2 linked regions of the Ovis aries genome follow. The protein of the gene in region 1 interacts with the protein of each later gene in a biochemical or structural test. Links are inferred from orthologs where the notes say so. Each region holds a gene or a part of one and is shown on either strand. Other genes may lie near its edges. The genes, in order: TXNIP and SLC2A1.

Region 1 (4,370 bases):
ATCTCCTGATTTTCCAACCCATGGGGAGGAACTCAGGAATCAAAGAAAAGGGAGAAGAATTCCTGTATCTGTGCACACAAGTCTTTCTTACTGCATCTCTGAAAAATTTCTCAGGAGTCAGCTCCTAAGGCACCTCACGGCCAGCTAGGGAAAAACCCATCTGACAGAGAGCCAAATAACACAGGATGAAGAGTCAGGGTTTCTTTTAGCTTTAACATACAGTGTGCTAACGATCCTTCTGTCTTTTCTTCCCTTTCTTACCTATTTCTAAACAGTTTAGGGGGGAAAAAAAAAACTTTCCAAAGACTGCAGAATGGTTCCCTCAAACAGAAATACGGCCATCTTTCCCTGACACTTTCCCTCTGACGATTGACAACTTTCCTGCTTTTAACTAATTTGAAGGCTGTGAGGAGTGTGGGCAGCAGATTTAGAGGTGTACCTCTGATTTAGTAAGTTGGAAGGGGGAGGAAGACGAGACAGTTAAAATAACTCAGGAAAAAGATGACTAGAGTGAAGCCTTTTTTTTTTTTTTTTTTTAATTACTTTCCTGGAGAAGCAGGGAGTGAGATACTCAGAGCCCAAAGAACACACTTTAACGAAGAGGTAATGAGGTAACTGAGAGACCATAAATAAAGTGTTCCCTAACTCTGCAGATCAGGGACTGAAGAGATGACGGGATAAGTGGCAGGATGTGGATACGCCCGTACTGTACCAGTCCAGAGAACAGAGAGAACCGAGTGGAGGACGCAGGGGCAGAGGCACACGGACCGGAGCCCCCAGCCTCCAGCCCAGGGGGCTAGAAAGGGAGTGGGGGATGGCTAATCAGTCCCATATATTCACTTTGCTGTGACCGCTGAAGAGAGGTTAAAAATTTGTGACAAGTTCTCTTTTCCTTCCCACACAGCCGGGATTTTTTATGGGGGGAGCGGGGAGGAGCAGGGGGTTGTTTGTTGATTTTTGAGAGATGCGGGGCAAGAGAAGGACAAAGCGGATCTTCCTCAACAGTAACGACTGCACTCCCTGTCCTCCGCCCCATCCTCAAGTATTCTTGGAGCTCTGGGATTGTTTTTCACACGACTTGCGATTTGTGAGCCGGGAATAAACAGTCACCTCTAAATTAATTACATTGGCTGAGGTTAGGCATGGAATTCCATCATAAGCACATTTTCCTTTTACCTCAAAATAATAGCTACCACTCCAAAAGCATCCACACCCGCCCTTCGAAGACCACTGGCCTCGGATAGATTTTGGGGTCAGTGAAGCATTCCTTCCTTGGGCACACGGGAAGCCGCCCCATAGCCCCTCCGCCCCCTCCTCCCAGCCCCGCAGCGATGCACAACAACCGTTTTCCCCGCCAGGAGCACACTGTGTCCACGCGCTGCTGCGACCTCGCTGATTGGTAGGGCTCCTGGTAAACAAGGAGCGGGCAGCCAATGGGAGAGCTGTGCACGAGGGGAGCACGAGCCTCCAGGCCAGCGTTCGCGTGGACCTGCCTGCCGGGCTACTATATAAACCAGTTTCCGGCTCTCAGTTGCAAACTATCGTTTCGTTTTCTGAGGTGGAACGCGTTAAGCCTTCCCGCCGAGATCCGGAGCTGTCCTCCAGCTGTTAGAAAGAAAGAGCTTATTTTTCTTTTGCAATCTCTTGATACAACTCGCGGCTTACATTTTTGGGTGGACGTGTTTTCGAAAATTCAGTAGAGAACTGAAAAGTGAAAAAGTTTTAACTTACAGCAAAAGGTCCTTTGATTGAGAGTTTTGTTTTGTCCTCATTTTTAACTCTTAAGCAGACCCAGCCCAACATGGTGATGTTCAAGAAGATCAAGTCTTTCGAGGTAGTTTTTAACGACCCCGAAAAGGTGTACGGCAGTGGGGAGAAGGTGGCTGGCCGGGTGATAGTGGAAGTGTGTGAAGTCACTCGAGTCAAAGCTGTCAGGATCCTGGCTTGCGGAGTGGCCAAAGTCCTGTGGATGCAGGGATCCCAGCAGTGCAAGCAGACGTTGGACTACTTACGCTACGAAGACACGCTTCTCCTGGACGACCAACCAGCTGGTAAGTGACCCAACTGTTTGCTGGAGGGTGAGAGCGGATTCAAGAAGAGAATTGATACGGATAAAGCCCACACTGTAGATCCTAAATTGCTCGGGTTGTGGGGTTTGAATTTTGTGTGGCTTCTTTATCTTTTTTAGCTTTAACTTGCTAACCCCTACCCCCACCCCCAAAAAAGGGTGATTTGTGCAACTTCTCAGGGTGCTGTGTTCTGTGGGTGATTCTGAGGGATGTTGACATAGCTATTGAAAGGTTTTTATGTCTTAATAAATTGCTTGTTCTTTGCTTGCTTCTTGTTTGAGATGATGATAGGTTGAGTCTTTCAGCACTGCAGGGCTTTGCAACTTTTTGCTCAGCGAATGCATCAGAATCTCATTTAAGAACATAAGGGGTTCTGCATTACTCTTGCACGCTGCCCAAGAATTCCTTATTGCATAGAGGCATTTTAAGTATAACAAGAAACCTAGAAGCTTCTCCTTTTTCTCTTCCTTCAGGTGAGAATGAGATGGTGATCATGAGACCTGGAAACAAATATGAATACAAGTTCGGCTTTGAGCTTCCTCAGGGGTAGGTAACTAAATGCATCTGTGATCTTATCTGTCTGTAAAAATCTTTCCCTCTTTTGATCAGTTACTCTTCTTGGAGAGCATTTTAAAATTGTTTCCTTTTTCTTGATAAAGGCCTCTGGGAACATCTTTCAAAGGAAAATATGGGTGTGTGGACTATTGGGTGAAGGCTTTTCTTGATCGTCCCAGCCAGCCAACTCAAGAGACAAAGAAAAACTTTGAAGTGATGGATCTAGTGGATGTCAATACTCCTGATTTACTGGTGAGATTCATTTTAAAAGTCTCTTCTTCTGGGTTTCAGAGATAAGTAGTTAGGTTTTTAGGGCATTAAAGTGAAGCCCGTCAGGGAATCAAGTCCTTAAGTCATCAAGGTGGGAGAGAAAACTACCTACTTTAAGCAGTGGAAAGAGAAGCAGAGAAAGGATCTCTAGAAATTCTCAAAACGTCTTTTTCCACTTCATTCTATATAGGAACCTGTGTCAGCTAAAAAGGAGAAGAAAGTTTCCTGCATGTTCATACCTGATGGGCGGGTGTCTGTCTCTGCACGAATTGACAGAAAAGGATTCTGTGAAGGTAAAAATCTAGTGCAGAAAATGAGAGACCCTTAAAACAGGAACTGTGGGTTTGGGAGTAAGGGCAGGAGGCAGGGACAGATTAAAAGTCATGGATTGCACTGAGCATCAGTTTTCATCTTTCTCATTGCCAGGTGATGAGATTAACATCCATGCTGATTTTGAGAATACGTGTTCCCGCATTGTGATCCCCAAAGCTGCCATTGTGGCCCGCCACACTTATCTTGCCAATGGCCAGACCAAGGTGCTGACGCAGAAGTTATCATCAGTCAGAGGCAATCATATTATCTCCGGAACCTGTGCATCATGGCGTGGCAAGAGCCTTCGAGTGCAGAAGATCAGGCCTTCTATCTTGGGCTGCAATATCCTGCGAGTTGAATACTCCTTACTGGTGAGTGGGTGGATGGGGTTGGAGAAAGAAATTGTTCATTGGTCTAAACGATAGTGGTGTTTCTCCAGATTTCTAGCCTAACAAACTGATGTCTTCCTTTCTAGATCTACGTTAGCGTCCCTGGCTCCAAGAAAGTCATTCTTGACCTGCCCCTGGTTATTGGCAGCAGGTCAGGCCTCAGCAGCCGGACGTCCAGCATGGCCAGCCAAACCAGCTCCGAGATGAGTTGGGTAGACCTGAACATCCCAGATACCCCAGAAGGTGAGCCAGACACCTGATCTCATTTTTTTCCCTCTGGCCTGGGTGGGTTTGTAAAATTGTGGTTAGGCTTTTCTTGGCTGGGCTTCTTATCTCCATGCTTTCTCTCTCTAGCTCCTCCTTGCTATATGGATAGCATTGCTGAAGATCACCGGTTGGAGAGCCCCACTACTCCTCTGCTAGATGACACAGATGGTTCTCAAGACAGCCCTATTTTTATGTATGCTCCTGAGTTCAGGTTCATGCCACCACCTACTTACTCTGAGGTGAGAATTGTCATTTACCACTACATTTGTCCTAAGCCTTTTATAGGAAGTTAATTTCTTGGGATTGCCAGACTGGATTGTTGTGTTTTTTCTTACCCAAACTAAAATACTCTTTCTTTTCTTCCTCCCAGGTTGATCCCTGCATCCTGAACAACAATGTGCAGTGAGCATGTGGAAGAAAAGAAGCAGTTATACCTACCTGTTTCTTTTCATCTCTCTTCCTGGACTCTTTGATTTTTTTAGAGACTCAACAGTCTCCACAGTGGGGT
Region 2 (3,806 bases), about 82 Mb from region 1:
AGTGCAAAGGAGACTAGCACCTGGCAGCGCAGTCTGGCCCTTCCCCTCTCCTCCCTGCACTCCAGTGCTCCCAACTGGTCTCAGGCAAGGGAAGATTAATTTGAGTGGTTGGGTAGGAAGAGACGGGAATAGGCAAAACCTAACGGAGCCTGACCCCTAGGTTTGGGAGACCCAGGCCCACAGAAGGGGTGGCCATAGCCACCTCTTGGGGCAGAAGACTCATAGTTTGCAGTTTGATTAGTGTGTCCTTAGGTCATAGGTCCGGCCCTACAGATTAGCTTGGCAAAGAAGGCAAGTGTCTAGGCAGGGCTTGGTCCCCACCCTCAGGCACTGAGCCATTTAGGGTGAAGCCAGGGATGTGGGTGAAGGAGACTCTGGCTGATAAAAAAATAATAACAAAATCAGTAATAAAAAATTATAAAACCTGTTGCTTGTCTGAATAGATCTGAGCAACAGTCTTTTGTTAAAATCCTGGAGCCGTTAATGTCCTGAATATTCTTCTGGACATCACTGCTGGCTGAAGGAAGGAGCCCCAGGCCCGGGTCTGCTGAGATCTATCAGTTTGAGAGTCTCATCCAGCTGCCTGCGCTCTGAGAGATCCTTGGGCCACTGGGAGCAGACCGGGCTGGCGGTGTGGGGCACCTCACACTTGGGAATCAGCACCCAGGGGGTGGAACAGCTCCTCAGGTGTCTTGTCACTTTGGCTTGCTCCTCCCTGTCGGAAGCCAGAAGCAATCTCATCGAAGGTCCGGCCTTTTGTCTCGGGAACTTTGAAGTAGGTGAAGATGAAGAACAGAACCAGGAGCACGGTGAAGATGATGAAGACATAGGGTCCGCACAGTTGCTGAAAGACACATAGAAACACTTGGTTGGAGACCTGACCCTACATCCTGCCCTTAGGATGGACGATCTCTTTACCTTTGGGTCCTTGATCTGAAAAAGGGAACACCCACCTACAACCCAGGACTCTGCTGCACCTGGCATGTGGTAGAAGCAGATTCTGATGGCAGAACAGAATAGACAATTCAAAGCTAAGGGAAGAACCCTGGAGAGGAGGTCAGGGTTCTGAGCCCATAACCTGGCCTTCTGAGCCTGTTTCCTCCCCAGTGTGATTCCAGTAGGAACACCAGGGACAGCATTTTGCACAGCGCTATGGGGTCCTGTGTGCAGGAGAGAAACGCTGAAGTGTGGGGACTCTGGGGTTCTTACCTCCACATACTGGAAGCACATGCCCACAATGAAATTCGAGGTCCAGTTGGAGAAACCGGCAACAGCAATGGCAGCGGGGCGAGGGCCCTGGCTGAAAAGTTCAGCCACAATGAACCATGGGATGGGGCCTGGGCCCACTTCGAAAAAGGCCACAAAGCCAAAGATGGCCACGATGCTCAGGTAGGACATCCAGGGCAGTTGCTCCTGTTGAGGATGAGAGAGGGAAGGAAAGTTAGGCTGGGCTGTGCTGGGTCCTCAGAGGAAACCAACTCCAGGGGTAGCCCAGGGCAGGCTAAGAACTCTGGCAGGCAGGAGGCCTCGGGCTGGCCCTGGATTTGCTCTGTGACTTAGGTACCGGGGCCAGGTCTCAGTGTTCTCATCTGAACAAAACAGGTGAAGCCCTGCATGGTGGTTGTGAGCTTGCGACTGCCTCCAGGAACGGTCACGTAGTTGCACGCAGGAGGTGCTAAAAAGAGGTCCCTGTGGTCCCCTGGCTTTGGCTGTGGAGCAGTCTGCTTATGGCTGGAGGATGTGGAAGAAAATTCCTGGGGGTGGCTGTCAGAGGCTTGTAAGGTACCCAGCTCAGGACCAGCATTGGGCAGGCATGAAGTTCCACAGAGAGCCATTCTCGAGGAGACCACAGCAGAAGAGTTATATGGTTTTGTTCCAGATCCCAGATCCCCTGCTTATCACCTGGGGCATGCTGGGCCTCTCAGTCGTCAATGTACTCTCTAAGCCTTGGTGCAGCTGTAAAATGAGTGTCCTGGTGTTCTCCTTGCCCAAACACTGGATAAGCGAGTGGTGTGTGAAGTGCCTGGGATAAGGTTATCATAGAGGTTATAGTCACAGGCTTGGGGCCAGCAGACCTGAGGTTGATTCCTGGCTTTTTCTGCTGCATTATGAACCTCACCAGGAAAGGGGGTGGGGGGACGTTTCCTCACTGGAGAAGTAGAAATATTGACTGCACTACTCCTGTGCGTCCTGAGGACTGAGTGAGATAATGCATGTTTCCACGCCTCTGTGGTAAGGAGGGCATTGCTTTCTAGGGCTGTTTACAAGAAGAATTGGGGCTGCGGAGGAAGACTTTGCAGAGCAGCTCCAGGAGCAAGGCAACTTGCAGGGCTGGAGGTGTGGTGGTGAGAAAGCACCCGGCAGGGAGGAGCTGGTTCAGATAAGAGTGGAAAGAGACAGCCCAAGGAAGCTGAGGGTCTGGCCCAAGCCTGGGGCTGTGGGTGGGGCAGAACGAGGGGGAGGGCAGCCCCACCTGGGGTCTGGATGCCGCCGGCCAGCCTGGGGCTGAGATGAGCACCTTGGGATGCCCACATGAGCTCCCCCTTCCCCCTCCTCTCCCCCCCCCCCCTGCCCCCCCCGCCCCCCCCCTCACCCCCAGAGCACGGCAACTCACCAGCAGCGCCAGCGCGATGGTCATGAGCACCGCACAGCCAGCCATGCCGGCCAGGCCTATGAGGTGCAGGGTCCGCCGGCCGGCTCGCTCCACCACAAACAGCTGTGGGCACAGGGTGCGTCAGTGCCTCCCCTCCTGGTGCCCCTCTGAACACACCCCTTCCTCCAGGAGGGTCCCCCCAAGTGCTGGGAAAGCCACAGGGCCCTGCAGAGATGGAGTGGCAGATGGATCACCTCTTCCCTGGGGCAGGGTTCGGGGACTACATAGGATCCCAGGGGGTGAGAGCTGCCTGCGAGAGTCAGACAGCTGAGCATTCCGGCTGTGGCCTTGGGCCAGCCGCCGCACTTCTCTGAACATCAGTGTCAACTGTTTGATCCCAGTAATGAACTTGACAAGTTGTTGAAGATGAAATGAGAGAGCACTTAGGGAGCACGTGATGCCTGCCTAGCTCGCAGTAAAGACTGCTGTCTGGTCACAAGGCCCCGAGCCCCTGAGACCACAGGCTGGACCCCAGCTGCTGGCTGGCTGTGGGCAACGACACGGAAGACTCACCGACACGACAGTGAAGGCTGTGTTGACGATGCCGGAGCCGATGGTGGCGTACACAGGCTGCTGCACCCCCGCCTTCTCGAAGATGCTTGTGGAGTAATAGAAAACCTACCGGACACAGAGGCAGTCGGGGCTCAGCGGGGTGCTATGGCTCTTCCCCCGCCTCTGTCCCAGTGGGGGCAGGACACACGGTCAGTAAAGCATGAAGAGGACACTGCCCCAGGGCCCTTCTGAGTTTGGGCTCTAAAGGAGAGCTGCTCCTCTGGCAGGGGTCCGTCTGCTCTTTCAGGTGTGGGATCTGTCCACAGCACGCCTCGGGCTCCAGGGATTGGCGGGGGGGCACAGGAGAGGGTGGGTACGGGGCACTCACAGCGTTGATGCCGGACAGCTGCTGGGACAGCTGCAGCACCACGGCAATGAGGATGGGCTGGCGGTAGGCGGCCGAGCGGAACAGCTCCAGGATGGTGACCTTCTTCTCTCGCATCATCTGCCGGCTCTCCTCCTTCATCTCCTGCAGGTCGCGGGTCACGTCAGCGGTCCCACGCAGCTTCTTCAGCACTGAGGGGGCCGGAGGGAAGGCGGGGGCGGCTCAGCGCGGGGAGGAGGCCGGGGCCGGGGGCGGGGAGGGGCAGGGCCCGCCGTA

The links.
Region 2: the proteins of TXNIP (region 1) and SLC2A1 form a complex in vitro, tested with the Homo sapiens proteins (2 studies listed by BioGRID). The link is inferred for Ovis aries from reciprocal best matches to the Homo sapiens genes TXNIP and SLC2A1.

The regions. Positions count from the first base shown.
Region 1 is NC_056054.1:99,309,436-99,313,805, reverse strand, and holds the start of TXNIP (thioredoxin-interacting protein), read left to right. Parts: upstream 1-1,535; 5' UTR 1,536-1,801; coding exon 1,802-2,051; intron 2,052-2,542; coding exon 2,543-2,615; intron 2,616-2,728; coding exon 2,729-2,876; intron 2,877-3,084; coding exon 3,085-3,187; intron 3,188-3,320; coding exon 3,321-3,577; intron 3,578-3,681; coding exon 3,682-3,838; intron 3,839-3,949; coding exon 3,950-4,155; 3' UTR 4,156-4,232; coding exon of another isoform or gene 4,233-4,268; 3' UTR 4,269-4,370. UniProt on the Homo sapiens protein: May act as an oxidative stress mediator by inhibiting thioredoxin activity or by limiting its bioavailability.
Region 2 is NC_056054.1:17,374,072-17,377,877, forward strand, and holds part of SLC2A1 (solute carrier family 2, facilitated glucose transporter member 1), read right to left. Parts: intron 3,722-3,806; coding exon 3,534-3,721; intron 3,272-3,533; coding exon 3,167-3,271; intron 2,717-3,166; coding exon 2,615-2,716; intron 1,414-2,614; coding exon 1,210-1,413; intron 845-1,209; coding exon 644-844; 3' UTR 1-643. UniProt on the Homo sapiens protein: Facilitative glucose transporter, which is responsible for constitutive or basal glucose uptake. Has a very broad substrate specificity; can transport a wide range of aldoses including both pentoses and hexoses.